4 linked regions of the Tamandua tetradactyla genome follow. The protein of the gene in region 4 interacts with the protein of the main gene of each other region in a biochemical or structural test. Links are inferred from orthologs where the notes say so. Each region holds a gene or a part of one and is shown on either strand. Other genes may lie near its edges.

What was found.
Region 1: the proteins of HSP90AA1 (region 4) and PTGES3 form a complex in vitro, tested with the Homo sapiens proteins (10 studies listed by BioGRID). The link is inferred for Tamandua tetradactyla from reciprocal best matches to the Homo sapiens genes HSP90AA1 and PTGES3.
Region 2: the proteins of HSP90AA1 (region 4) and PPP5C form a complex in vitro, tested with the Homo sapiens proteins (4 studies listed by BioGRID, with this or other methods). The link is inferred for Tamandua tetradactyla from reciprocal best matches to the Homo sapiens genes HSP90AA1 and PPP5C.
Region 3: the proteins of HSP90AA1 (region 4) and STIP1 form a complex in vitro, tested with the Homo sapiens proteins (9 studies listed by BioGRID). The link is inferred for Tamandua tetradactyla from reciprocal best matches to the Homo sapiens genes HSP90AA1 and STIP1.

Annotation. Positions count from the first base shown.
Region 1 is NC_135333.1:123,760,018-123,766,848, forward strand, and holds the start of PTGES3 (prostaglandin E synthase 3), read right to left. Parts: upstream 3,006-6,831; 5' UTR 2,369-3,005; coding exon 2,313-2,368; intron 1-2,312. UniProt on the Homo sapiens protein: Cytosolic prostaglandin synthase that catalyzes the oxidoreduction of prostaglandin endoperoxide H2 (PGH2) to prostaglandin E2 (PGE2).
Region 2 is NC_135342.1:14,870,030-14,877,944, forward strand, and holds the start of PPP5C (serine/threonine-protein phosphatase 5), read right to left. Parts: upstream 3,013-7,915; 5' UTR 2,952-3,012; coding exon 2,831-2,951; intron 1-2,830. UniProt on the Homo sapiens protein: Serine/threonine-protein phosphatase that dephosphorylates a myriad of proteins involved in different signaling pathways including the kinases CSNK1E, ASK1/MAP3K5, PRKDC and RAF1, the nuclear receptors NR3C1, PPARG, ESR1 and ESR2, SMAD proteins and TAU/MAPT.
Region 3 is NC_135335.1:10,451,069-10,458,492, forward strand, and holds the start of STIP1 (stress-induced-phosphoprotein 1), read right to left. Parts: upstream 3,016-7,424; 5' UTR 2,902-3,015; coding exon of another isoform or gene 2,893-2,901; intron 671-2,892; 5' UTR 612-670; coding exon 570-611; intron 1-569. UniProt on the Homo sapiens protein: Acts as a co-chaperone for HSP90AA1. Mediates the association of the molecular chaperones HSPA8/HSC70 and HSP90.
Region 4 is NC_135338.1:63,505,286-63,513,134, forward strand, and holds the start of HSP90AA1 (heat shock protein HSP 90-alpha), read right to left. Parts: upstream 3,009-7,849; 5' UTR 2,866-3,008; intron 2,236-2,865; coding exon 2,074-2,235; intron 2,000-2,073; coding exon 1,633-1,999; intron 1,387-1,632; coding exon 1,253-1,386; intron 948-1,252; coding exon 633-947; intron 420-632; coding exon 254-419; intron 151-253; coding exon 1-150. UniProt on the Homo sapiens protein: Molecular chaperone that promotes the maturation, structural maintenance and proper regulation of specific target proteins involved for instance in cell cycle control and signal transduction.

The sequences.
Region 1 (6,831 bases), on a different chromosome or scaffold from region 4:
ACAGCAAAATACACCAGATGCAACAATTCTCAATTTAAGAACTCAGATAAAATATGATCTGAAGTTTTTTAAGAGCTAAGTTGATTCTAACTGGTATTAAAAAAGCATCTCCCAAATGTCACCAGAAGGAAAGCTGGAGGTTAAAACATGGGAATGTTTAACACACTGAATCCTGTGGTGGACAACGCCAGTGATTAACTGTACAAATACAAAACCATTCTTTCATGGACTAGAACAAATGTATGACATTATTATAAAGAGCTAACAGAGGAGATTTATGGGAAAATACGTACCTACTGAAAACTATGACTACAGTTAATAGTAATGGTTTAATATTCTTTCACCAACAATAACAAATATACTATATCAAAAACTAAGGATCAATAGGGGTGAATAAGGAATATGGGACGGTTTGGGTTTTCTTTTTATTTTTTTTCTGAAGTAATGAGAATGTTCTAGTATGCACAACTATGTGATGATACTGTGAGCCAGTAATTGTATACTTCAGATGGTTTGTAAATATATCTCAATAAAAAAAGCACCTCCCATCCCTGAAGGGCACAATCATTAACCACATAAGACCCCAAAATGATATAGCCTCAGAATTTTTAAACCGAGAATAATTTAATAGGAAACTCTAAATTTCGAATATAATACTAGCCTAAACTCAAGTGATTTCTAATGCCTTCTAGTTAAAGGCTAACTGAGCATAATAAAAAAAAAGGAAATTCAGCTGCCAGGTTACAGTGGTTAGAAAATCAACACTGAACAAAGGCTATCATCTTCCCTAACTTACCAATTACTCATTTTAAATAGAAATTAGTGGTAAACCATATGCTCACTATGACAATTTGCTTTGGAGGTTTGATATCTTTGGAGATTCAAACCTACAAAGCTAAGGAACAGCAAAGTAAGATTTTAAATCAATGTTCAAGATGGTCATTTTATGTTTCCAAAAATTTATTAATTTAAATAATAAATTAATGGGATGATTTCAACAAGGCACAGAAAGAATGACCCTTCAAATACCTCAAATAAAACTAAATAAAATATTTTACTTTCTTCTCTTGTTAGGATCCAATAGCAACCAACTATAATAGCTAATTTAAAAGAGAATGCAAAGTACCACAGCGCAAGTTTAGCTTTGGGGAGGTTTTAAATGGGTAAGGAGGTCTTAAGATCCCAGCCTTCTCCAAGGTAGGAGAGAGATGGAAACTTCTATGTAGGCTACTAGACAAATTTAACTAAGAAATCACTAACAGAGTTTCCAAACTTGAAAAAAACACAACCCCAAACCTTCAAGACATCCAGCACAAAAAACAAATCAACAGAAAAGCAGCATTAAAACAATGTTTTAAATAGACATCACCAAGAGGAACCCTTATCAGCCAATTTTTCCTAGGACTAAATGATCCATTAAAAGTCTTCTCCAACTCAAATAAATGACTCAGATTTTCTTAAGATCCCCTGAAGAATTTACAAGACAGCACATGTCTAACATTTTAAAAGAGGATGAGATTTATCTGGTTTCTTCACAGAAAATTCACTTTAAAGGCAGCATTCTTTAAATATAGTCAGACTGCTTTTTGGAATACTGATTGCTACACTTGGCATCCCAATTTTACCCTTTACATAGTTTAACATTTCTTACCTATTTTAACCTCCAAAAAGTGACCTCCGAAAAGTGTTTCTATTTCAAACATGGTACTTCCCCTATATTAATACTCTACATTGCTCTAATACACATTAAAAGTTGGTACTGCTTTATCTGACAATTCATTTTTTCTTCTACTTTCAGAGTAGAGACTTTCAAAGTATTAAATGAAAAAATCTCTTTACCTAACAACTATCAAATGGGGAAACTTAAAAGGGAGTAATGGGACGATTTCAACAAGAATATAAAGCCTACAGCTGTCAATTACATAAACATTTTGAGCAGTTAATATATCCCCCTGAATCCAATTAAGATAGAAAAAAAAAGTCCACATTAACTTTAGCACTACTAGTACTCTACAGTCCATATTGACAATTATTTAGAAATTTCAAAGGGATAAGCAAAACCTATTTTACATAGATTTAAGGTGGAAAGGTCAAGAGCTTTTATTACGTTAAGATCACCAAAGTTTTCCTTTACCATAAAAGAAAAAGATGGCAACAGAATCCTCCTCATAAACAGAATTTGAACACCTTAAGACCACAAGACAGTTATGTACCTATTTTATTCTAAATTAAGATGAATGATACCTCACCTACAGTTTAATATGGAACACAATGTCCACAAGTATCTCTAGGTTCGACACGTGCAAAACTACCTGTTCAGTGGTAACTCCTCGGTGCCAGGACACGACTGAGCTTTAGCAGCCTTCATTTCCTTCAAGATACTTGAGTTTAGAGGCCTGAAAGGACCTATACTCAAGAAATCAAGGCACTTCAGAGGGTAAAAAAAAAAAGTTGTGGTGACGGCATGGCCTCCCTCTCGTTGCCTAGCAGTAACTGTCGCTCACGGCCTTGGGCCGCGTAAGGCTCTAGGATCTTGCACCATCAGTCTTCTGGTGGCACCCACCACAGGTGCACTTGGCCCAGGGCCTGGTCCCAACACAGAGTGGCAGAACCAGACTGACGGAGAACCGAAGTGGCAATCCACGAGGGTCAAATGCCTCCAAGGCGCCCGCATGGCAAAAGGCTCAAAGGAGATTAAGGCCTAAGGCCTAAAGCTAAGTTAGGACGAGTTATGAACGGTTACGCATAACTCAGACCACCAAAGGGGGAAAAGCGGGATTTCCGGCATGGGGAAAACGAGGGACAGTTTAGAGGTGAGGGAAGCGGGTATGTGGAGGAAAAATGTCCTCCGTCCACCAACGGTAACCGAACAAGACCACAGACCTCCCACCACCAGATAGTAACAACCGCCACCAGTGAAAAGAGAAAACGGAGAGCGCCGAAGGCGGGGGGAGGGGTGGGGAGGGCAAGGTTTCCCCACAGCCCAGGAGTCCCCAGAGCGGCCTCGGTCTCCCTAAGGCCGACTTCCCCACGATGGGATAGCGCACTCACATTGTGAACGGGTCAGGGGGCGGGCCTCTCCGGCGGCAGTTGCTGGGAGTCGACTCCTCTCCGGCCGCGACTCCGGCGCTTTCTCCCCGGTCGTGGCCTCTTCACGCTTCCCTCAGGCGACGGCACAGGCGGCGGGCTCGGCCTGGGTCCCCAGAATGCACCGCGCAGAGAGAGCGGCTCCGCGGCTCGGAGAGAAGAGGAAAGCGTAAGAAAAGGGGCGCGAGGACGGAGAACGAACGTGCGTGCGTGAGAACGAGGGGTGGTGAGGCCAGGCGGCGGCTGGTGACGCAGCAAAATGCCCGGGCCCTGCCGCCGCGCGTGCGCAGTCCTTGTTTTCGGGCTCCCGCGCGGCTTTCTAGAGATATCTACGGAAAGGGCGGAGCTTCCCAGCTCCTTCGCGATCTTTCCCGAGGCTGGCGCCGCCCTTCGCCCTTTTCCGGCCTGCGCCGGCTTCTTCCCGCCTCTTGTTCCGCGCTCCGGTAGAAAACCGTTGGGTTTATAGGCACTCGGCGTTGTTCCTTGGGCGTCTTCCCCTGAGAAACGGCTGTGTTGGATAGTGGAAGGAAAGCTGAGGCCGAGGGACGAAGATTTTTCTGGAGGCTTGTGACGTGAAAGGGGGGATTGGTTATTCTTGAGATACTAATAGGCCAGACAGGTTGTTTGAGGGGAGAGTTTAGCCAGGTGTCAGAGAATGGAGAGACTTCAGACACATCAGTGTGTGTGTGAATTTGGGGTGGGAGGCTTTCAGTCTGCTTCAACCGTTATCTCTTGGGCAACTGCTTTGTGCCAGGCACTGGGTTGTGCTCTAATGGGGGCTAACCAAGAGATCAGAATGGGCCCTGCCCACTAGGAGGACACTTAAACGGTAGAATGAGGGGGAAACAAAAGCGATACACCGCTACTGAGCACCCAAAGGAGTTTTAAGAAAAGTGCTGTAAGATGTCCAGAGGGAGTGTTTGGGGGTTTCATATTCAGCAATAAGATATTTGATGTCTATATTTGTGCAAGATAGATATCATGAACTGTGGACATAGAACCCTATCTAGTTTCATTTTAAAGGGCGATTAAATCCCAGCTGTTACTCTGATTCAGGGGCCTGCTGCCTGTTCGAAAGACAAAATAATGATTATTGAATACCATAATGGAAATACAAAAAGTATGGGAGCTTGAAAGGAGGAGAGGTCTATTTGGGCTGGAAGAATGAGGGTAGGTTTTGTTCAGAAAAATTACCCAGAACCTGGAAATAAGGCATTGCACCGAGGGATAGCCTTTCAGTTTACACTGGGACATTGTTTAACCTGTCTATCAGGAGACAGGAGAACGAACCTATGTTTGTCTTTGCTATTTATTATATAATTAGAACTCAGACATCGTGAAGTTACATACTAACTTGTAGATTTTTTATTGGAAGACTAATCCCAAAGTTACAGTTTTATTGCTCTGAAGGACACTAAGCGGGTTTGTTTGACCCAGCAATCTTATTCTAATTCTTTCATTTTTATGCCTGTGAATAACCAAATGTTATTTGCCATTTTACTGGTTCCATTCGTGAGTGAGATATTTGGTTTATGTTAATTATATGTTTGTGAGAGAATCGTGTTTTTTAGTTTTTTGAAAATTCTATTTTGACAGCCTCATAGAGGTGACAGCAGGAATAAGTCGGATTAGTATATTCAGGCAGGAATATTGGTGAAGAGACAGAAACAGAAGTATTTCTAAGTCAGTGGTCAGCAAACTTTTTCTGTAAATGGCCAGATGAAATCATGCTGGCTGTTTTTGTTGCACCTTCTGAACTCTGCTATTACAGCATGAGACAAACAGACAATATGTAAACAAACAAGGATGGTTATGTTCCAATAAAAGTATTTAAAGGTACTGAAATTTGAATTTCTTATAATTTTCACATCAGAAGATATTTTAATTTTTTTCAACCAATTAAAAATGTAAACACCATTGTTAGCTCACAGACTAAGATTCTGCACATAAAAAATCTGGTGAATGTGTTAGATTTCGTGTACAGGTTGTAATTTGCAGAACCCTGACCTAGGTAGTTGAGAATGTAAGGGAATAGTTCAGGATATGGTTAAGAAGATAGTCAGAACCAAATAATGGTGATGCTGAATATCGGGATAATTGCAACTTGTCTCTCTCACATTTGGAAGCTATTAAAGTTTCTTTGAGTCGGGGAGCAGCACTCTTGTGTCCTAGATTTGTAAAGATTAATTGGTAACAAAGTATAAGATGAACTGAAAATGAAAGAACTGAATTAGAGATAGAAGACTCCAACCCAAATTTCTGGCAATTTCCCTTGTCAAAAGACAGGGTAGAGAGTGCTACGGGGAAAACTACCTTTTTTTTTTTTGTATCCTAATTCATGGTTCATTTACAGCTATTCCCCTCCCCCATTAGTTTATTTACTTCCTTAGTTATTCCTCACTAAACATATTTCAAGGGGTTTTATTTTAGTGTTCTTCTGGAAATAGCTTTTCTACCAGAAGTTTCACAAATACTTTGTAATTAGGCTTATTCAAGCCCTTAGATGTTATCCCAACCATTAGTAGGTGGGGACCTGAGTTATACCAGGTTCATTTTCAAATTCACTAATAGTTCTATTTCTAGTATGGGGCAAAATGTAGATTCAAACATGTATAGTTACAGTGTCAGGGTGTTTAATAAATCTGCAACCTGGATTAACAGAAACTAGAAAATACGTGGTGAGTAGTAGATGCCACCTCATAAATTTAATCCTAACAGTCTCCTAAGAGAAGAAATTGTCAGGTCAGTTAAAAAAATACATATGCCAAAGGATTGCAGAGACATTTTGTCAATTATCATAGCAAGTTCTCTGTGATATTTTTCTAAGAACTGAATTTAAATATGTGCCCAGAGTCACTAGTAGCAAAAGAGAATTTTGTATGTTGACATGAGCAATTAAACATTTTAAAAATTAAATCAGATAATGAACACAGTCTAGTTGTATGAATTTTCTAATAAGACCTTGGAAGTTATCTATATATGTCATATAAAGGGGAAAGGGGTAAAGTGGTAAGAATCTCTTTTGGATATAGGAAAAAGGAAATTGGCCATGAAGCTTAAAGGAGACATCATGACTGTATTAGCTAGGGTTCTGTAGAGAAACAGAATCAGTAGGAGATATCTGTAGATATGAAATTGATAAAAGTGTTTCACATAGCCTTGGGAATGTAGAATCCAAGGTCTGTAGGGCTATAAGCTGGCAACTCTGATGAAGGTCCTCAGCGAACTCTCAGGAGAGGCTGCCTGGGCAACCTTGGGAATGTAAAGATCCAAGGTCTGTAGGGTAAGCTGCAAGCTGGCAACTACGATGACAGTCGTCAACGAACTTTCAGGAGACGTTGGCTGGACAACTGTGGTAATGGAAGAGTTCATAGTCTGCAGGGCAGGCTGTGAAGCTGGCAACTTGATGAAGGGTGTGGACGAAGTGCATGGCAGAAGGTCCCTGGCTGAAGCAGGTAGAGTGTCTCTTCTGAATCCTTAAAAGCCTTCTGGTGATTAAATTAAATGTCACTCATCACAGAAGACGCTCCCTTAGCTAATGTAATCAGCTGTGGATGCAGCCAACATGATCATGATTTAAGTCCATGAAATGTCCTCATAGCAACAGACAGGTCAGCACTTGCCTGACCAGACAATCGGGTACCACCACCTGACCAAGTTAACAAATGAACCTGATGTGACAATGACCTAGCTAAATAAAATCATCGCAGATAGCTTCTGGATTCTCTGCCCAGAGTTTAGAAG
Region 2 (7,915 bases), on a different chromosome or scaffold from region 4:
AAGGAGGATTAAACAAAGCGATGTACCTGGCGCTGCAGGGGCTCAATTAAAGTAAGCTGTAATTATTCTTTTTTATTGTTATTGTTATTCCCACAGTCCGGGAAGCAGGGACTGGTGCATGCCCTTGCCTGCCAGGCAGGAGGCGGTTCTCCTCCATGCCAGCTCAATGCCAGGTACCTCTGGCCTGCCCAGTCCCAGGGCTCCTGACAGCTGGATCCCAGATCCTGGGGGGGGGGGGGGGGGGGAAGGGGGGGGCAAGGTGCCCCTGCTGTTTCCCACAATTCCTAGGTAACCTCAGCATCAACTCCATACCCACTACTCCTCCCATGTCCCGTTTCAGGGATGAACCCACTTTCCACTGCATCGCCAAGCTGGAGACGGGGCCTCGTCCCAACCCCTCATACCCAAAGACTGGTTGTCACCATGTCTGGTCGAATCAGCCTCCTGAACGTCTCTCAAACCCACTCACTCACTTCCAACACCTCTGCCCTGCCCTAGTCTGGACTCTCTCCTCTCCTGCTCAGGTTCCTGCCCCAGCCTCCTTTTTGCCCTCCCAATTTCCAGACCTGCTCCCTCCACATGGCAGCTAGAGAGATCTTTCTAAAGCACAAGGCTGACCCTGTCCTTCCTCTGCCCAGACACCTGCCATGGCTCCCCAGGACCCCCAGCAGAAAGCTCAGGCTCCTCTTTAAGACTCAGCAACCTCACCAAGAACTACTACCCCTCCTACACTCCAGCCCCCTCACCTCCCAGTGCCAGGCTCTGCTCACCTTTGGGCCTTTACCACCCGGTTCCTTCTGCCTGGAGGGCCACTCTCCTTTCCTCTGAAACACTTGAATCAGTTTCCAGGTCTTCCCCTTTGCCCCCCTGATCTGTGTACCACCTCGCTCATATGCCCTCCTGGCCTCCTGATTTTGTCTTACCCATGTATTCATTCTCTGCAAAGCAGTAGGGGGCCTTTTTCAAATGCTCTTTTCAAACCATGTTGCTCCTCTGCTGAAAAACGTTCCAGTGCTCCCCATGCCTTCAGGATGATATCCACAACCCCAGACCCACCAGTTCCACCAGTCCCACCTCCCTTTCATTGTTCCAGCCTGACAAAACCTCCACAGACCTAGAATTTGTTTCTGTGCTCATGAGAGGCCAAGTCCTCCACTAGAGTTCTAGATCTCCCCTTACTACCTTTCAGTTGCTTGACTGCTGGAAGTCTCCCCTCTGAAATGGATCATAGTCTCTTCCATCCTTAAAAAAAGCAGACTCCCTTAATTCCACCTTTTTCTCCTGCTCGATTTCTCCACTCGCCCTCAGAACCAAAATACTTGAACACTTGCCAACATTTCTTGTCTCCACTTCCTCAGCTCCCATTACTCTTCAGTGCCCTCCTAGCTAGATGCCACCCTACCATTCCCCAGAAATTGCCCTTGTCAAGGTCACCACCAATGTCCACGGAGCCAAAACTCATGGTCAAAACTGAAGGTCAAAACCTTGGCAGCATCCAACCTAGGGCACCAGCCCCTCCTTCTGGAAGCATTCTCTTCTCAACTCTTAGCCTCCCTGACATTTCTTTCCTGGTTTTCCTTCCGCTTCACTGGCCACTCCTTCTCAGCCTCCCTCTCACTCTCAGTATCAGAGTTCCCTGGGTTTGGTTCTAGGCCCCTTATCTTCTCAGACCCTCCTTTTTAAGCGACCTCATTCATTCTCAATCACATAGATTGTGCTCAAATTCCTCCTCAGCCCAACCCTCCAGATTGGCCAATCTACATTCTCAATGTCTCCTTTTTGATAGCTAAGTAAAATTCAAGCTAGTCTTTGCAATGATTTACAAGAATCTGCATGATCTAGACCCTAGCTTAACCTCATCTCACATCAGCCTCCCCCCTAAACTTGCTAAAGCCCCTTGCTACACTAGTCTGTCATTTCTCACCTCAGGACCTTTGCACATGCTGCTCCAGCCACCTGGAACAATTCTTTCCATTTCTCCTCTCCAAGTTTCAACTCAAATGCTGCCTTCTCAGTAAGACCTTCCCTGACCACCCTGAGTAACCACCCTTATTCTCTACTTCAGCACCTTGTTGGTTTTCTTTCAAAGCACTTATCACAATTCACAACTATTTTACTTATTTGCATGTTTACTCAATGTCTGATTCTCCTGTTAAATCATAAGCTGCACAAGGACAGGGTTACATCGGTCTCAACTGCAGTTCTTTCCCCAGAGTCCAGCATAGTCCTTGGCACACGGCAGGTGCTCAATATATCTCTTTCCTAAGATCATAAATCATACTATCGTTGGGGTCCCTACTCTCAGGGGACCCAACTCCCCTTTCCTTGAGTCACCAAATCTATTTCTCTGCCCACTTACTACCTATTCCCCGCCCCCCACTTCCTTCCTTTATTGGGACCAATCACCCTGTCCCGCCTTGGTGGCAGCCAACCTCCTTTTTCCACTCGGTAGCGCCATCACTCACCCGGCACATGTCAGCGCTTGGTAGCGCCCTCTTCAGGTATCACCATCAGGTAGCACTTTTCAAAGGCTCACCATCTGGTAGCGCCCTTATTCGCTCTCCCGCCCCACACTTGGCAGCGCCCGCCTTAGTCCCCCCACTAAGTATCACCCGCTTTGTACACCACATCTTGGCATTACCCTCTCCCTCAAAAGCCCCCTACGTCGCCCCTTGGTAGCACCCATACTGGGCCTCCCTACTCCTGTCCACTTGGTAGCGCCTGCCCGCGCCGCGGCTCCGCTCCGCGTTGCCATGGTTCCGCGCGGGCCGGGTAGCCCTCCGCCTGGGCCGCTCTCCACCCTAACTTGCCCCCTCCGGAGCGGGCGCACCTTTGAAGTAGTCGTTGGCTTGCGTCTTGAGGTCCTCTGCCCGCTTCAGAGCACCATCAGCCGGGGGCTCGTCCCGGGGGGGATCAGCACACTCAGTCCGCTCACCCTCCGCCATCGCCATGCCGCAAAGCGACCCCCACCTTGGCAACGGCCGCTAGCGGCACCCGGCTGAACCGTCGCGAAGGAGAGCCGAGTTGCCGCCGCCGCCGCCGCACAAGTGTCGTAAAGCGCGGGCCCCGAAGGCGCCCTTCGCGCGCCTGCGCAGAACCCTGTCGCCTATGAGCGAGCCGAGGATTAGGCGAGCAAAGGGTTCCCAGACAGCGCCCTTCCTAGAATGAGCCAATAGGGAAGATGAAAAGGGGCGGGCGGGGAAAAGGCCCACCTTGGCCCCTATTCCTGAAGTTACCGTGCTCCGAAGCCCTAAAAGTTCCTCGGGTCTAAAAGTGGAATTTTCCCTCCATCCCCTCGCGTTGGTGGGTGGGTTGTAAATGCCAACGTGGAGCTGCAGTCCGGCCTTACCGCCAGTTACCTGCGTGACCCTGAGCAAACACTCCTCACCTTTCTCCGGCCTCGGTTACCCTTCTGAAAAGTGGGCGGTTACTCAAAGAAAGAAAGCTCTAACCCTGAGGGTCCGTCTTTTAAAATTGTGAACTGAGGACGCCTGGAGCCTCATGCCCGGCAAGGTTCAGAGGTTTGGCCAACCGTTTCCTTTCTCCTCCCTATATATTCAGCTTCCCAAATCCTGCTGAATCTTCAGAATGATTCTCTTCTCTTTGCCTCTTCTCTTGCCTGGATCGCCGCCTCTGCTGCTTACATTCAGCTTTCAGTTTACCCTCCATAACGCAGGGAGGGGTATTTGCTACAACATGACCGTCATCGTGTTACACACACCATCCCTAGCCTTCCACGGCTCCCCAGTGCCTTAGGAGAAAACCCAAATTCTTTCTGCTCTCCTAGGAGACCCTGAATAGTCTAGATTCGGGCAATATCTCCAGATCCCAATCCACTGGGCACAATGCATACCTTTCTGGTCCATTCTTTCCAAGCCTCTGGCTTCTATTCATACCAAATCCTTAGCATCGACTCTTTTAAGGCTTAGCTCTGGCTCCCATGCAGGAAGCACAAGATATTCCAACCCCAAACCTTCTTTTTCGGCCTGTCAGTCTGACCCCAACCCTCTCACTGCCCCCACCCCAACCCCCACCCCAGCCAACAGACACCCTCGAGAGTAGATACTAGTATCGTCTCTGTTTTTACTGAGGTTCTCAGAGAGGTCATCGCACTTGCCCAAGGTCACACAGCTAGGAAGCAGCAGTCAGGATTTGAATCTGTTCCACCTGATTCCGGTGCTCTTTATTCCTATTCTACTGTCTAGGCTCCAGAACGCTAGAACCTGCCTCTTGGCTTGTGGAGTTTTGTTTTTGTTTTTTTAAATTTTTTTTTGTGGGGAGAGGAGAGGGTTCCTATATTTGAATCCAATTCATCCATTTTCCTGCTGTGTGACCTTGGGCAAGTGTTCACTCTCTCTGAGGAATTTATCCTCTAAAATGGGGCCTATTTATAGAGTTAGGAGAGGGTTCAACGAGATCACATGAATAAAGCATTTGGCAGAGGGCCTGATACAGAGTAAGTACTTTTCATATTCACCCAGTTAAAAATATTCAGAGTGAGGCAGGGTGCTTGGTGCTGTGTTGTAGGAGGGTGGTCCTCAGAGGTCTGTGGAAAACCAGAGGACATTGCTCAGTTGAGGCAGGCAAGGAAGGCTTCCTGGAGGCGGGGGTGTCTGAATTAAGGTCTGAAGTAGAAGTAGGAGACAATCAAGTGAGGGAAGGGCGTTGAGGCAGAGGGGACTGCAAGTGTAAAGGCTGAAAACTGGTTTTCTTCCTTTAAAAAGCTTCTGATATGAAACAAAGGAGAGGAATTATGGGGGCAGTTTGTAGAGACGTGACAAAACAGAAACACCCATCCACACATGATTCTGTGGACACACAATCACTCTTTTTTATCCACACACAAGGACAGAGAATCGTGTCACACAGATACACATTGGTATACAGGATTACAGCGTTATACAGTCCCACACATGTCTACACAGAATCACGACATCATATAGACACATACAGCTACAAAAACATCACAACTCTGCCACTCAGGAACACAGAAATTTGAATGTAGTAGCTTGAATTACATACTCTAGAAAAAAAAAAAGCTTAATCTCAACCCCATTCCTGTGGGTGTGAATCCATTGTAAATAGGACCATTGAAGATGTTATTTTTAGTTTAGGACGGTCTTAATCCTATAACTAGAGGCATTACTGCAGGGTCCTGAAAATAGATGGTAATTAATATTTTAAAATTTCAACTTATGTGTGAGACTGAAGCAAAAAATGTTTATTTGGTACTATATATATATATCTTTTTTTTTTTTTTTTTACGTGGGCAGGGACCAGGAAACAAACCTGGGTCCTCTGGCATGGCAGGCGAGAACTCTGCCTACTGAGCCATCGTGGCCCACCCCAAAATTTATATTTTGATTAGTGCATTTCCTAATATAACTTATATAGACAGCTTGGTTGAATACCATAAGTACATGAAACCTTGGGTAGGACATGAGATTTTGTTGGTTTGTCCAGAGTGATGCCCTGATGAATCCCAGAGTGATTTGATCAGTGAGTGGAAAAGTATCTGCAAAGTCCCCTTCGGGGAACGGTGAGCACGAGGGAAAATTCAACTTCCCCAAGTTGAATACTTGATATTCTCACAAGCAGTGTGGACAACCAAAGCTATAGGCTGAGCCCCCAGTCTTGGGGTTTGTTCATGTGAAATTTAACCCCACAAAGGATAGGTCAAGCCTACTTAAAATTAGGCTAAGAGTCACCTCCAAGAGAACCTCTTTTGTTGCTCAGATGTGGCCTCTCTCTCCAGCCCACACAACAAGCAAACTCACCACCCTCCCCATCTACATAGGACATCACTCCCAGGGGTGTGGACCTTTCTGGCAATGTGGGACAGAAACCCCAGAATGCGCTGAGACTCAGCATCAAGGGATTGAGAAAACCTTCTCGACCAAAAAGGGGAAGAGTGAAATGAGACAAAGTGTCAATGGCCGAAAGATTCCAAACAGAGTTGAGAGGTTATCCTGGAGGTCATTCTTACGCATTAAATAGATATCACCTTGTTATTCAAGATGTAATGGAGAGGCTGGAGGGAACTGCCTGAAAATGTAGAGCTGTGTTCCAGTAGCCATGTTTCTTGAAAATGATTGTATAATGTTATAGCTTTCACATTGTGACTGTGTGATTGTGAAAACCTTGTGTCTGAGGCTCCTTTTATCTACCTTGTCAACAGATAAGTAGAACATATGGAATAAAAATAAATAATAGGCAGAACAAATGTTAAAATAAATTTAGAAAAAAAATACTGAGTATATTGCCAACTTTTAAGCATTGAAAAACTCACTATAAAAATAATAAATAAATAAATAATAGGGGGAACAAATGTTAAATTTATTTGAAATGCTAGTGATCAATGGGGGGTAAGGGATATGGTATGTATAATCTTTTTTTCTGTTTTCGTTTTATTTTTCTGTTGTCTTTTTATTTTTTTCTGAATTGATGCAAATGTTCTAAGAAATTATCATGATGATGAAAATGCAGCTATGTGATGATATTGTGAATTACTGATTATATCTGTAGAACAGAATGATCATAAAAAAAAAAAAAGCCGCATGGAAGAAGCAGGAACTTAGAGGAACCCAGAAGAGAAAGCAGTGGACATCGCTATGTGATGAGAAAGCCAAGGAACCCAAGGATTGCCTGCCTGCCAAAACACTACTGACATCAGGAGGAAGCAAGCCTTCCAGCCTCCAAAACCATGCGACAATAAATTCTCGTTGTTTGAGCCAACCCATGTGGTATTTGTTAAAGCAGCTGGCACACAAATGTAACCAGAAACACATGTAAGGCAGAATCACTTCACCAGAATATTAACACACACATGTAGGAAGAGTTACAACACACACACACACACACTCAAAGAATTATGTCACATACACACACGTACACACAGATGACATCACCAAGCACACACCAGATACAGAGGAACACATATTCACACACAGGTGTCCAGTGAGTCACCCACTGCACCCACACCTTGAAGCGATCCCACAGATGAGTCGACACACAGAGCTCTTGTGCCTACCGAGGCAAGGTCTTTATGGTAAAATGGAATTTAGTGGGCTTTAGAGTCAGCTGTGGCTGCTCCAGACCCTTCCCCTCCCCCAGGCCGGCACAGCTCCCTCCACTGAATGACCCAGATCACCCGAGGGAAGGAGGGGTCAGATCCTTCTCCTCCACATAGCACCAATCTGGGTAGGCCACCCCCTGACAAAATGCAGTGGGCAGCGCCTTCCAAACAGGAGGTGAACTGTGCTGAGAGAGGGGAGCCTTTTCCTGGGTAAGTCCAAGAGTAGCACCTTCATAGAAAGGGGCTTGGGGGTAAAGGGGATACATAGGTGGTGGCAGAGAGCTGAGACTCCTGGCCTCTCTCCCTACCCTGCAATATGCAGACAGGTTGTGCGTGGCCCTGTGCAGCTAGAGAAGTCTCCTGGATGTGAACCCCATAAGGGGGGGTGAGGGAGCCCCAGATACCCAGACGTTGGGATAAAGAAAAGGCAAGCGCATGTCTGGAGGCCTGGGATGGGGAGTCCAGGGGGTTCTAGATCAGAGAAATTTCAGGGAAATGAGATTGAGAATAGAGAGATTTGGGCTTGAAGTCTATGTGCCAAGAGCCCTGGATATAGGGATCTGGAATGGGAAGACATAGGACTGAGGGCAGGAATTGGGGAGTGTTGAGTGGGATGAGAAGCCCAGAATTGAGTTAGGAGGGTGAGGGTAGAGGCTGGAACCAGGCAATAAGAGTTGTGAGATTTGGGACCAAAGGAACTTACAGAATGTGGCCTAGACTCTAGAATCAGAAGCATTTGGAGGCTGAGTTTTAGAGCTGAAAGGATTTAGATCTGAAATCAGAAGGAACTGGAGATTGTATGGTCCAGGACTGGTGAATTTTATAAGGTGAGAACTAGAA
Region 3 (7,424 bases), on a different chromosome or scaffold from region 4:
GGCAAGGGAAGTTTTCCCTTCCTCTGGAGCAAAAAGATGCCCACCCTGTGGCACGCAATTGTTTCCTCATACCAGAAAAGAACTTTCTTCTATTTACTGGTGTGGTCATATGTCACCATATGGTAAATTAATGCTGTTTCTTAATGGATAAAGGAAAGCTAGCTACCCCCCCCCACCCCGCCAAATGACTTGGTTCTTGCCCCATTTAAAAAAAATTATTATAAAGGTGTGGGGAAGATAAAGAAACACTTCAGTGGTTTAGTTCCTGTGGTGGTTTGAAACTGTATGCACCCCTGAAAGTATGTTCTTAAAGTTAATCCATTCCTATGGGTGGGGACCCAATTTATGTAGGATATTTTCATGAAGCTACTTTAAGGTGAAACCCACCTCATTCAGGACAGGTCTTAATCTGCTTACTGGAGTCCTTCATAAATGGAATAAATAAGAGACAGAGAGAAAGAGAAAGAGGAGGGAGAGGAGGGAAAAAGAAAGCCATAGAAGCAAGAAACTGAAATTAAGGAAACCCAGAGGAGCAGAGGAGGAAGAGACCAGCAGGTGCTGCCAGGTACCTTGCTATGTAACAGACGACTCCAGGGTCTCGCAGAAAGCATCCCCTTGATGATGTCTTGATTTGGATATTTTCACGGCCTCAAAACTGTAAGTTTGTAAGCTAATACATTCCCATCGTTAAAAGCTAGCCCACCTGGTATTTGTTTTAAGTAGACTAGTAAAGGAAAATGGTCCCCTATCCTCTCAAACACACTGGAATAAGATGCCACACCCCAAAAGCTCTCTTAAAAATGCAAACACATTTGGTGAGATCAAGCTGTCATTCAAACTACTCAATTGCTGTACTTTCTTTGCTTCAACCACTGTGACTGGAGTAAGGTGCTGCCAAAAAGAATTCTGTTATATTTTGGAACCTCTGACGCATACCAATTGAGACTCCATCACCTAGAGAGATTCTAGAGAGTCAAGGGAGAAGGAGAGAGGGTGGGAGACTGCCACATTTAGCAAGCAAGAGATGAAACTTTTAGGACCCAGGATGAAGGTTAGAAGGCAAGAAGTTACAAAAACTCAACTGATATTAAGAGACAGCTGAAGTTCCGGGTGCCTGCCCATGTGAAAAAAAAAAAAAAAAAAGAGACAGCTGAAGAACACCTTAAGTTCTAGCTTATCCTATGAAACAGCATTTTACAAACTGAGTAGCCACCTGCAGTGGGCCAGGAAATCAATTTTGTAGGTCATGACCAGCATTTTAAAAGGTCCAGTAAAAAATACCAGCACGCAGTACATGTAACAATAAGTATTAACAGTGTCATGGTAAACAGTTATAGATCAGCATTAGGTCAAATGTAAAAAAAGTGTATCACTCTGGGATCTGAAAAGTGCCTATAAAGAAAATACAACTTTCAACACAAACTAGGTCAATCTGATTGTTTCCCAAATGGAAGTATGTATTTCACAGAACTGAAATTGGAAACAAAGGCAGAGAGGTCACAAGGTTTTCAGGAATAGCTTCAAGACTGCAGGTTCTAACACACCTAGAGTTAAAATATCAGGTTCATTACTGGTAAGGACGTTTACCATTTAAGTTTGCAGCCCTCAGTTTAGTCAAACAATCCATTTCGAACTTGGTAAGGACAGGAAGCGACCTTTTCTATTTTTTCTTGCCTATACCAAAGTCGATTAATTCCTGACACAATCTAGTTATCCCAAGGAAGCAAAAAGTTTACGGACTTCCCCATCTTCACACTTTTATTTTTAGTTTGACAAAGTGGCTCCAGGTATGGCTAAAGATAAACTGGGGCATATTAGTGTTCACCTTTGTTGATCAAAGACAAAAAAAAAAAAAACGAAGGAAAAGGGAGTTCAGCTTTCTTTTTCTTCACCAATCATTATCCTTCAATGACAGCTTCCAACTAAAACAAACCTCACAACCTCTCACGACCTACAGACCACTGAGGACATAACCACCTTTACGGAAAGCAGCCACAGCTTGGAATTCCACCCCCCCCAAAAATGCTGGGCAAAAGCAAATCTTTGACTTCTGGCTCATCGATAGGGTCTAAATTTCCTAGCGCAACGAATTCCTCCTTGTCTAACCAGAAACCGACGTTTCAAGTGTCAGTCCTCAATCAATCACTCGAGAATCACAAAACAACGTGGGGGGGAGGAGGGGCCACATGCACATTCGTGCAACAACAGTAAATCTGAAACTCGTTCCAAGGACTTTTGCTGCACCCTCCCCTTTCCTGCATCAGGCAAAGTCGGTTCGCTGCTACCCAGGCCTTCGCTCAACACTCCCCCCACCAGGGTCTTCTGAGAGGCTCCATTTTTCTCCAACTGGGTCCCAGTTTGAGAAGCTCCCCAACTACTTTCAACTGATCTCCGTCTCCGCTCCCTCGGTCCCCCAAGTTCATCATGGCCAAGGGCTGGGTGGCGTCCCCGTCGGCAGCCTCGGGGCTCCCGGATCGCGCATCCCCCGAGATTGGCGCCGCTCCTTCCCGCCTCCCGAGGTCCCTCGCCCGCCTCCACCCCCAGTCCCGCCGCCGCGGCCACCTCCCCTCCCCTCCCCCCCGCTTAGCCTACAGCCACCTCCCGCAGGCCTCCCGGGCCTGGCTACGACCCCTTTTCCCGCCGCCGAGTCGGGGGGCGATGAGAGCGGAGGGGACCCGGCCCTGCCCACGGCCAGGAGTGGACAGGGCCTCGCACCATCCCCCCCGTCCGGCCCGGCGCCCGCAGCCCTCACGCCCTCTCTTCCCCGCCGCCGCCGCCCGCTCCTCAACGCCACTGCTTGGCCCGGCCAGGACCGCCCGCCGCGTCCCTCCTCCCGTGGCTCGGCTAAACCCCGAGCGACCCCCAGGCCTCAACTCGCCCCTCCCCCTTCACCTGCTCCATAGCCCGGCCCGGAACCCGGTTGAATCGAATCCGTCCGCTCCGCGTTCCCAACCGCACGCGCCGCCTTCTGGAACCTACTAGAAGCTGCCGGGACCCCCGGCTCCCGCCCCTTCCTTGGCTGCTCACTGGTCCAACTCCTCCGAGGGGCGGGGAGCTCCCTGCGCTCCTCCACTATTGGCTTGAAGTTCCGCCCATCATCTTCGTTTCCACTCATTGGGCAGTTGGAGCGTAATCTCCTCAGCCTGCCTCCTCCGCGTCTCGGGATTGGCCTCTCCTCGAAAGCCCCTCCCATTTTAAGGCTTAGCGATCGAAGGAGGGGCACGTTTCCGCGACAGCGATTGGTCGTATGGTTCGCCAATCGCGACCACGCCAGGAGCTCCCATTGGTTCCGTTCTTTCTGGAGCCCGGGACGCACCCGCCTTCAAAGTAAAAAACATTTTAATTGGGCGGAGGATTGCCAGCACCTTGCGTTGATAGGTTTAAGTTGCTGTCCATCACAGGGTAGTTCTGGTTTCGGCTGTCTGGTGGCTTTTCGGAGTCGGAGACCGCTGTCGCCTTCTGTCGCTGGGCAGGCGATGACTGTGGGCTTCGCGGGCCATCGGAGCCTCCCGGCCCGGCCCGCTTCTCTCTACAGTGGGTTCCCACCGAGAACCCACGGTCGAGGGCCTTTCTGTCTGTGCGTCGGGCTTGGGGTCTAGGCTAATGGGGCTGACGATCCGGGTCCGCCGCGGGAGAGGCGCCGGCGATTCTTTCTCCCTGGCTGCCATGTGCCCGCTTGTCCAGCTCTTCGGCCCCGGGCACTGGCCCTTCCGGGGATCCCAGATTGTTAGGTTCTGAGTGCCCCGAAAGTCCGGCGTGGCGGTGAAGCGCCCCGGGGCTTGGGTCCGGACACACCCGAACCTCTCACCCTGGCGGTTCCCGTAGGCCTGCTGGGTGTCCTTGCTGGAGCCGCACACCCTCTCTGAACTTCTCGGGTAAAGGGTTCGGTCATCTAGGGCCCTGGGAGGATCCGTGCACGCGGGAAGTACTTAACGAAACGGTGCTGTCTCCAGTCCGATGTAAAGGTGTGAAGGACCCAAACACAAGAATGAGTTCCGTGACTGCCTCCTGGCCAGTGAGGGCCTGTACGGCCTTAAATCCCAGTCTCGAAAGGGAGAGGGAGGGTGGGCACCCGGAGAGAGGCTAAAGGGCTTAGAGTGTGGAAGAGATGGGCCTGCAGGACCCTTATTTGATGGTTGGAAAGCTGCTTTTATTTTATTAAAAAAAATATTTGTTATCGTCAGACTTTAACATAGAAACGTTCTATACGTGGAGTGTAATCAGTGGCTCACAATATCATCATATGGTTGTGTATTCATCACCATGATCAATTTTTTGAACATTTGCTTCTCTCCAGCAAAAGAAAGAAAAAGGAAAAAACTCAAACCTACCATACCTACCCCTTACCACTCCCTCTCATTGGCCACTAGTATTTCAATGTACTCAATATATTTTAACAATTGTTCCCCCATTACTTATTTTTTGTCCATATTTTTTACTCATCTGTCCATCCCCTAGATAAAAGGAGCATCAGACAGAAGGTTTTCACAATCACACAGTCACATTGTAAAAACTTTATCATTATACAATCATCTTTAAGAAACAAGGCTACTGGAACACAGCTCTACAGTTTCAGGCACTTCCCTCCAGTCACTCTAATACACCATAAACTAAAAAGGGATATTTATGTAATGCATAAGAATAATCTCCAGGATAAACTCTCCACTCTGAAATCTCTCAGCAGCCGATTGATTTGTCTCGTTTCTCTCTTCCCCCTTTTGGTCAAGAAGGTTTTCTCAATACCTTGATGCCGAGTTCTAGCTCATCCCAGGATTTCTGTCCCATGTTGCCAGAGCGGTTTACACCCCTGGGAGTCATGTCCTACGTAGAGAGAGGGAGGCAGTGAGTTTGCTTGTCCTGTTGGCTTAGAGAGAGGCCACATCTGAGCAACAAAAGAGGATCTTTGAGGGTGACTCTTAGGCCTAATTTTAAGTAGGCTTAGCCTGTCCTTTGTAGGAATAAGTTTCACAGGGGTGAACTCCAAGATCGAGGGCTCAGCCTATTGATTTGGTTGTCCCCATTGCTTGCAAGGATATCAGGAATTCTCTAAATGCGGAAGTTGAATATTTCTACCTTTCTGGGAGACTGCTTTTGCTTCCCCCGTCAGCATATGGGTCATGGAACGAAGCATGGCATGACCGAGGGCTGGAGTGAAGGTCTGGAGCCCTGCCATATTTTCATTCTTTTCCCTCCTTGGGTTATGCCATCCCTTCCCAGGGTTTTAAGCCCCCCGTATGCTAGTAGCTTGACTCTACAGCTTCTTGCATCTCAGCCGGCCTCTTATCCGTTCTCCATACTTCAACCAACGTGACAGTACATCTCTTGGAGGCTTTAGGATGGCATCAAGGTTTATCTAAACTTGAAGGTCTCCTATTTTTCCCACCTCTTCTTTGCTTTGTTCAACCTCAAGCCCCAAGCGCACTGATGGTTCTGTTCCTTGAATTAGGCTGGTTCCTTCACTCTTTCCTTGAATTATCCCTCTGCTAGGATAATTATTTTATTTTGTGGTAGCACATATGCAACGTAACATTTCCTATTTTAACCACTTTCAAGTATGCAATTCAGTGGTGTTAATACATTCACACCAGTTGTGCTACTATCACTTCCATCCATCAGCAAAAGATCCATTACCCCATTATGTGTTAACTCCCCATTCCCCAGCCCCATTACTGATACCCTGTAATCCACTTTCTGTCTCTGAATTTGCATATTCCTGGTTATTTCATATAAGTGAGATCATACATTTGTCTTCTTATGACTGGCTTATTTCACTCAACATGATGTCTTCAAGATTCATCTGTGTTGTATCAGAACTTCATTCCTTTTTATGGCTGAATAATATTCCATTGTATGTGTATACTACATTTTATTTATGCATTCATCCACTGCTGGACTCCGATTGCTTCCACCTTTTGGCTTTTGTGAATAACAACGAATATTGGTGTATGGATATCTCATTCCCTGTCTTCAGTTCTTTGGGAGTATATGCCTAGAAGTGGGATTGCCAGGTCATAATTCCATACTTAACTTTCTGAGGAATTGTCAAACTTTTCTACAGTGGCTGCACCATTTTACATTCCTATCAACAATGCAGGAAGGTTCTGATTTCTCTGCATCCTCATAAATACTTGCTATTTTCTGCCTTTTTAAAAATTATTTTAATATAATTTTAGAGTGAAATACTGGTGATCGGTAAGGGGAAGGGGTGGGAGGTATGTTATATATGAATTTTTTTCTTTTTATTTCTTTTTCTGAATAGATGCAAATGTTCCAAGAAATGATCATGATGATGAATATGCAACTATGTGATGATATTGTGAATTACTGATTATATATGTAGACTGGAATGATCATAAGTTAAGAATGTTTGCATTTGTTTGGTGTTTTTGGAATTTTTAAAAAAATTAATAAAAAAAAAATCGGTTTCTGAGCACGACGGGCAGAAGACTCCATGGCCTTTGTCCAATAACACAGACAAAGTCTGTTTTTAATTTGTTTATTTACTATAAATAAAACCAAATAAACCAAAAAAATTTTTTATTTTAATAATAGCCTGTCTAGTCGGTATGCAATGGTCTCTCATTGTGATTTTGATTTGCATTTCCCTAATAGCTCATGGTGTTGAGCATCTTTTTCATATGCTTATTTAAGGCTGTGGTGGCTTGGAGTTGTGTTCTCCAGAAAAACATGTTCTTCATCTTAATCTATTCCTGTGGGTCTGAACCTGTATTAGGGTTCTCTAGAGAAACAGAATCCACAGGAAATATTTGTAAATATAAAATTCATAAAAGTGTCTCATGTAACTGTGGGAACATAGAGTTTATAATCCGCAAGACAGGCTGTGAAGCTGACAATTCCGATGGAGGGTCTGCCGAACTCCACAGGAGAGGCTCGCCAACCAAAGCAGGAAGAGAGCCTGTCTCTTCTGCATCTTCCTTAAACGGTTCCAATGATTAGATGAAACACCACTCATTGCAGAAGACACTCCCCTTGGCTGATTACAAATGGAATCAGTTGTGGATGCAGCTGACGTGATCATGATTTAATTCTATGAAATGTCCTCATTGCAACAGACAGGCCAGCACTTGCCCAACCAGACAAACAGGTACCAACACCTGGCCAAGTTGACACATGAAACTGACCATGACAGAACCCATTATAAATAGGACTTTTTGATGAGATTACTTCAATTAAAGTGTGGTCCAACTGAATCAGGATTAGCTACCAGTAGCCTAATAGGGAAGGTCACACAGAGAGAAACCACAGCAGCCAGAAGCTGGAAGCCAATGGAACCCAGAAGAGAAAGAGAAGATGCCACTGTGATAGTTAGGTTAAGTTGTCAACTTGGCCAGGTGAAGGCACCTATTTCTGTTGCTGTGGACATGAGCCAATGGTACGTGAATCTCATCTGTTGCTGTTACATC
Region 4 (7,849 bases):
TCTCTTTATCTTCTGCCAGTTCAGTGAAGAGCTCTAAGCACTTTTTGACCAAATTCTTTCTGATAACTTTCAAAATTTTACTTTGTTGCAACATTTCACGAGAAATATTTAGAGGAAGATCCTCAGAGTCCACCACACCTCTAATGAAATCTGAAAAAACATAGACCAAATGCCTTCAAGATATACCACCCAAAGACAAAAATTGTTTAGTATAGACACCCAAAGAAACATAAACTAACCCAGCCACACTTACTCAGATATTCAGGGATCAGCTCCTCACAGTTATCCATAATGAAAACCCTGCGAACATACAACTTAATGTTGTTCTTTTTCTTCCTGTTTTCAAACAGGTCAAAAGGAGCACGTCTTGGGACAAAGAGAAGGGCTCTGAATTCTAACTGTCCTTCAACTGAAAAATGCTGGGGGAAAAAAGAACAAAACACTAAACACCAAGAGACAGTGAAAGCAGCTTTTACTGAACACTTTAACTGACAGATAAGTACTTGCAGTCACACAACTTAAAGCACTAAGACATAAAAGAAAAAAGCCCACACCACCTACCCTCTGATTTAACCATTTGAGACCAATTACCTGGCTGAGGCATGATAGTTCTGGAAGCACTCAATGCTCACCTTCACTGCCAAGTGGTCTTCCCAGTCGTTGGTCAAGCTCTTATAGAATTCTCCATATTCTTCATTAGTAATATCGTCAGGATTTCTGGTCCAGATGGGTTTTGTTTTGTTAAGTTCTTCTTGATCAATATATTTTTCCTTGATCTTCTTTTTCTTTTTTTTGTCACCATCCTTCTTTTCTTCTTCTTCATCATCAGAACCAACATCCTCTATTTCTGGCTTATCATCAGACTCCTTTTCTTCTTTTTCTTCCTCTTTTTCTTCCTTTTCTTCAGCCTCATCATCACTTACTTCTTTATCACGTTCTTTCTCCACCTGGTTAAAAAAATTACGTGAAATACTCTGCTTCCTAAGACTAAAACAGGCTAAGAGTACTTATATCATAATCTAAGTCAACCACGCAGAGAAACCTGTAAGGAAACTTTACAGCAACAAATTATTTCAGCCTTACTTCTGTATACAGAATTAAGGTCAGAGGAACCCAGCTCCAAACAGGCTTCAGACCAGCATTAATAAACCCTTTAAATTTGGGTCTTCCTTAGTTAAGCCTAAAGACTTCAAGTTCAGCTAATTACATACAGGCGTCCACTACGCAGTTTGCAGTTTATGTACAAACTTACAAAAAGAGTAATTGGATAGCCAATAAACTGAGAATGTTTTTTCACTATCTCCTTTATTCTTCTTTCCTCCAAATACTCAGTTTGGTCTTCTTTCAGATGCAGAATAACCTTTGTTCCACGACCCATGGGTTCACCTTAAAGGAAAAGAATACAACTTTCAGATATAGTTAAGGTTAAAAAAAATACCCATTTGGCTCAAGGTCACCTAAGAGGTCCTTGCCAGCACTTTCTGAACCAGTCCCTAATAGGCAGGGTTTACCCCCTCTCATAAGGCTGAGCAGCAGCACGCTCGGCTCCTGCACCTGCTTACATCTCTATTGGCTCTCACTTTCTCAAGACTTTCAGCACCACCCCCCCCCACCCCACCCTTAGATGCTCACCTGTGTCGGTCCTAACAGTGAAGGAGCCTCCCGCCGATGACTCCCAGGCATACTGTTCATCGTCATTGTGCTTGGTGATAACCGTCACCTTCTCCGCCACTAGGTAGGCAGAATAGAAACCCACGCCGAATTGGCCAATCATGGAGATATCGGCACCAGCCTGCAGCGCCTCCATGAACGCCTTGGTGCCCGACTTGGCGATGGTGCCCAAATTGTTGATCAGGTCAGCCTTAGTCATCCCGATGCCGGTATCCACGATGGTGAGCGTCCGGTCTTGCTTGTTGGGGATAAGATTGATGTGCAGCTCCTTCCCGGAATCCAGCTTGCTGGGGTCGGTCAAGCTCTCATATCGGATTTTGTCCAGAGCCTATACGCAAGAATACACCCGTCAAGCCCACGGCCGGGTCCTCACCCACACCCGACCCTGGAACACAGACTTACGTCCGACGAGTTTGAGATAAGCTCCCTCAGAAAGATCTCTTTGTTAGAATAGAAAGTGTTGATGATCAAAGACATCAACTGGGCGATCTCGGCCTGGAAGGCGAACGTCTCCACCTCCTCCTCCTCCATGGGCTGGTCTTGGGTCTGGGTCTCTTCGGGCATCTGCGGAAGGCAGCGCGCGCTCAGGCCGCGGCGTGGCGCGTAGCCGCGCCTCGGGGTCCGGAGCACCCGTCCGGTATTTTTAGAAACCCGCCCCAGGGAAGAGAAAAATTTAAGGAAACCGAAAATAGCCAGCGGGCTGACAAAGGGATGACCTCATTTAGCGCGGCGATAATCGCAGGGGCGCGCACACCCCGCCAGGAGACGTCGCGGGTTCAGTGCGCCTCTATCGCGCCCCGCCAACGGGGGCGCCCCCTTTCCCCGCCACGCCGCCATAACGCCCCCCCCCACCCCCCCGCCGCCACCCGCGTCCGCGAGCTGGGACCGAAACCGGGAGCCGTCTGCCCGGAGAGTCCTCGGCGCTAAGGCGTTTCTGCCCGCGCATAGAACCCATCCCCCACCGCCTCGGCAGAATATCCCGGGAGACCAAGGGGCGTCCGGAACCCGTTTCTGGGGAGGCCGCGGCAGGCCCGAAGCCTCCGGAAGGGAGACGGGGGCCGCCCCCACACTCATAGGCCGAGAACCGCGGAAAGGTGCTGGGGGCTGAGTCTGGTGCCCCCGGCCGCGCCTCCCCGCTCATTCCCAGACACCAGCACCCTCCCGTGCCAGAAGAGACCCCCAAGTTCCCCTTACCTTGGCGATAGGAACACGCAGTTACCACACCGCAGCAACCCCTGGACGCTGAAGCAACTGGCGCGCCACCCCCGCGCCTCCCTTATATAGACGCGGGCCCGCCCAGCGCGCGGCGCCTTTTCCAGAAGCCTCCCGAACCTTCCGGAAGAACCCTCCCCAACTGCCGCCGCGACCGCGCGCCTGCGCCTGCGCCCTGGCCGCGTCCCGCCCCGAGCCGAGAATGGCCTAGGCGTCCCGCCCCGCCTCGCTGCGCGCTCTCGCGTCGCCTTCTGCGCCTGCGCGGCCCGGAATTCTCGGGAAGGTCTCTGCGCTTCCGGCGCCACCGACCCCCGCCCACCCTCTTTCCTCAGGCTGGTCCCGGTTGTGTGTATCCCTGCCACCCGTGCCCTGGCCCTGGGGTCTCGGTGGGCCCCTGGGTTGTGCCCCCAGCTCGGCGAGGGTACTGGGGGCCCGGAAAATAGTGCACGTGGCCGAGTTGCTGTGAAATTTGCAGTGATTTCTTGATTCTTAGGCAGTGTGCCCTCCCTGATGGCGTAAGCGTCTGCTCAACGCTTGGGCTGCGACTTAGGGGTCCAGGGTCGCGTGTAGAGGTCCAGAGCAGCAGTTAGAGGGTTGGTGTCGTGTTTAGGGTTCCGGGACACGGATTGGGGGGTTGGGGCAGCATTTAGGTGACCCAGGCAGTGATTAGGGGGTTGGGGTTATGTTTAGGGTTCTGGGACATGGATTGAGGGTTCTTCCGTGCCTGCCCTCTCCACTGTCAACTTTCGTTTTGCATGGGGGTGGGGGGCTGGGGCTCGTGACGCAGACTAGTGCGTTTGAGGCGTGTAGGGTCGGTCCGTGACGGGGTGCGGATGAAGGGTCACTAGTGAAAGGTTTAGGAGGCGAAAGGGTGAGAAGAAAGAAAGGTACACTAGGAAATTTAAAGTGGGGGGGGGTGGGTGGGTATTTCTGCGCTCCCAGGCAGAACTCACCAAACCCAAGATGGAGGGAGGTGAGTGCGCGTGTGGGCTTTGGCACAGGCAGCTTTTAAGGTTTGAGGTCAGGTCACTTCTGGAAGGGGAAGGTCATTAGTTCCAGAAGTCAGGCTGAGAGGGGTGACACAGCCTCTGCAGCTCCGATTGCAGTGCCCTTCACGGTTCCCCTGACCTAACATTCCAACCTTTTTGTGATAATAGGGTGCTGAGATCTTTCTGGCTACTTACTGCTGTAATGGGGCGGCGTGGGGTTATAGGCTGGAACCGTCATGGCCAGGGGAGCGGGGAGGCTGGCTGTAGGAATTTGGTGAGGAAGGCAGGTGATGATAATGATGCAGGAGCATTTGGTTGACTTCTACTGGGGATAGTTCCTTCATGCACCCCTGAAGGAAGTTGAGGAGGCAGGGAGCTAGGAGAAAAAAGAGACAGATTAGGATAACTGGTCCTAGTAGTGGGAGGAGTCATGTCACCAGAGGAGAAGAAATCCAGCTTAAGGCAGAGTTGGTTCCTTGTTTTCTGTGGTAGAGATCGTCTCTTAGTTTGTTTAGGGTTTGAATATTTTGTTTCACCAGACCTGACTCGTTGATGTAATAGCAGCATTCCTCTTGGAGGAATATACACGTTCCTCCTTTATCAGCTGTCAGCAGGTCTAAGGCCCGTCGATTTTGAAGAGTTACCTGGGCTAATGAGGTGAGTTGGCGTTGTAGAGAGGAGAGGGATTCTGATGTCAATTCCAGGGCTACCTGTAGTCGAGTTTCAAAGTTTTGAGAGGTTAAAATATCATGTCCCAGAGCCCCTCCTGCTGTGGCTGAGGCTGCAACTGAAGTGGTTAGGCTGATGCCTACTAGGATAGGAAGAAAGGCAGCCCTTTTTGAGCGAGGAGAGGGCAGTAACCAAGTTAGTTCGGACTCCCCATAGAGGGTTAATTGAGGAACAATAGTTACCAGGAAGCATGGTCCTGGGGCAGTGGAGTTAAGGCATGTGGTAAGAGTTCCATTACACCAGAAATATTGTCCTTTGGGGGCATGGGTGGTGTTGTGGATAGTGGTGTTAGTCCGGCACTTGCTATGAAGTTCTTTTTGAGGGTTTTTTATCCAATGTAGTGAGGCTCTTAATTTGGCAAGAAGATCTCGCCTCATTAATGGGCTGGGGCAAGAAGGCATTACTAAGAAAGAGTGTGTAATGGGGTACCCTTCTATTAAATACGTTAGCAGTCCAGTAGTTAAGGGGCACAAAGGACGGCCGTCTATGCCCATAACGGTGACCTGGGAAGGAAGGAGTTGACCTGAGTAAGAGGGAAGGTAGCCCTTGTGTCCACTAAAAAGGAGGTGGACTTACCTGCTACGTTGATTGTTACCCTGGGCTCAATGAGGGTGATTGGGGTCACTGAGGCCGGGTGTTGTCAGTCATTGGTGGCCAGGCCCAGGACTGCTAGCTGTGGGTTAGGGGTTGGAAGGACAGCCCCTTCACGGCCAGGCACCGAGGAGCAGTCACTTTTCCAGTGTCCCTTTTTACCACGGAGAGGGCATGGTCCCTTGGGCAGTCGAGGATTGGGGCACTGGCGGAACCACTGTCCATCGAGGCCACATTTGAAGCACTTTCCTTGTGGTGGATTAGTCGTAGCTGGCTTCTTCTCCGTTGAAGTGGGCCGCAGAGCCGCAGTCAGGGATTGGGTTTGTAAATTCGCCTTTGGGCGGTCCCGGGATTCCTTTTCTGCCCTCTCCAATTCATCACGAGTATTAAAAATTTTAAAGGCCGTGTTTACCAGGTCACGGATAGGGGCCTGAGGGCCTTCCTCAATTTTTCTAAGTTTACGCCTTATATCTTGAGCCGATTGGGATATAAAGTGTGTGACTAAAACAGTTTTACCAGCCTCCAAGTCGGGGTCTAGGCGGGTATATTGGGAGAGGGCTTCTGTGAGCTGGTGTAGAAAAGCGGCCGGGTTTTCATCAGGACCCTGGGTAATTTCCCTTAGCTTATGGAAGTTTACTACTTTATGTGAAGCTTTCTGCTTGCTGGCTATGAGGCATGTAAGCATTTTGTCCCGTCTAGTCTGCCCGTTCCTCCCCGCTGGAGTGTCATCCTGATATTCCCACCCTGGCTCCTGGTCTGGCACGGCCTAGGCCCCTACCGGCATGGTGTGGTAGGTTATATGCACCTGGTTAGCGTGGGCCCTGGCTGCATTGAAAATGCAGTCCATTTCATCTGTAGTGAGGGAAGAAGAGCAGATTATATGAATGTCATGCCAAGTGAGGTCATAAGCATTAGCTAGATACTGGAACTGTTTAGTATAGGTAGTTGGATCGTTGGAGAAGGAACCCAACCATTTTTCAATGTGTGAAAGATTGGCCAGAGAGAAGGGAGTGTGTACCTGAATTAATCCTTCAGGTCCTGCAACCTCCTGGAGGGGACAGAGTAAAGTACTTTTTGAGCGGGTATGGGAGCTTACAGGTGAGGGTAGCGAGGAACTAGCTGGTGGCAGAAGAGCCGAAGCAGGGGGTGGGGGTCATGCCGGTAATGGGAGAGCCTTTGGAGTAGAAGGAGGAAGGGAAGGATAGGATGGTGGCTGGAATGTTGCTGGAGCAGGGGTAGGAAGAGGGGGGTAAGATGGTGGCTGGAGCGCCACCAGTGGAGGAGGAAGACGAAGGCAAGATGGCAGCGGGAGTGCCGCCGGTGCGGAAGGGGAGAGTGGAGGGAAAGATAGCGGCTGGGACGTCACTGGAACAGAAGGAGGAAGAGAAGGAGAAGATGGCAACTGAGATGTCACTGAAGCAGAAGGGGGGAGGGAAAGGCAAGATGGCGACTGGAGCGCTGCTGGAGGGAGGGGAGGGTAGAGCGAGGGAGAGGAGGTTAGTTTCGCAAGATGCAGTGGTGGCCCTGGTCTTTTAAAGGAAGATGAATCGAGGGGGTCAGAAAAGGAGGAAGTTTCTTCTGAGAGAAGTGGGGATTTGGGAGTTTCCTTGGCTAGGAGAACATGAGCTATAGAGCAGGAGGTACAAAGGGAGGGGCGGGAGCGCAGAAGGAAAAAAGCCTGGACATAAGGAATTTCGGCCCATTTGTCATTCCTCTGGCAAAAGTTGCGGAGGTTCGTAAGGATATTAAAATCGAAAGTCCCATCCTCAGGCCAATGAGAATCATTATCCAATTGATATTGGGGCCAAGCCTTTTTACAAAAGTAAGTGAGGCATTTTGGCCGATTGTCTGGAAGTAAATCCAGTATGGATAGGTTAGTCAGGAGACAACCCAGAAGAGTATGAGGTTTGGTTTTTGAGGATTTATTGCCCATACTGACGGGTCTCAAAAGAGAAAGGACTAGCCCAGGGGGTGTCAGCGTCCCAACGCCCTGAGAGAGTCCTAGGAACTCTTACGAGCAGGGGCTTGTCTCCCCAGGGGACGTCTCACCCTGGTTTGAGGCCCTTTCAGGTCCTGGACCTGAATTTGGGAGGGAAACGAGAAGCGGGGCGTCCCCACAGCTTTTCGAGTCCCAGAAAGAGGGTATGAGGCTTGCGGGTGTCCCCGTTCACCTCAGCCCTCGGAAGAGAACCTGACGTGAATTCACAATTTTCGGAGAGTAATTAACGGACAGGCTCTCTCGGAACCGGAACCATGAGACCCGGCAGCAGGGCTAGGAGGGGAGGGACTTACCCAATCTGTGGTGGATGCAGTGGTGGGCCGAAGGATCCCTTGTCTCTGGCTTTGTGGAGGAAGGAGGAGAGAGGAAGCCCGGGCACCTCTGGCCAGGCAGGCGGCACCTGCGCTCCTCTCCCGGGTTTCAGGCACCAGATGAAAGGTTTAGGAGGCAAAAAGGTGAGAAAGAAGAAAGGTACACCAGGAAATTTAAAGTGTGTGTATGGGTGGGGGGGGGGTTTATTTCTGTGCTCCCAGGCGGAACTCACCAAACGCAAGATGGAGGGAGGTGAGTGCGCATGTGGGCTTTGGCACAGGCAGCTTTTAAGGATGGAGGTCAGGTGACGTCTGGAAGGGGTAGGTCATTAGTTCCGGAAGTCAAG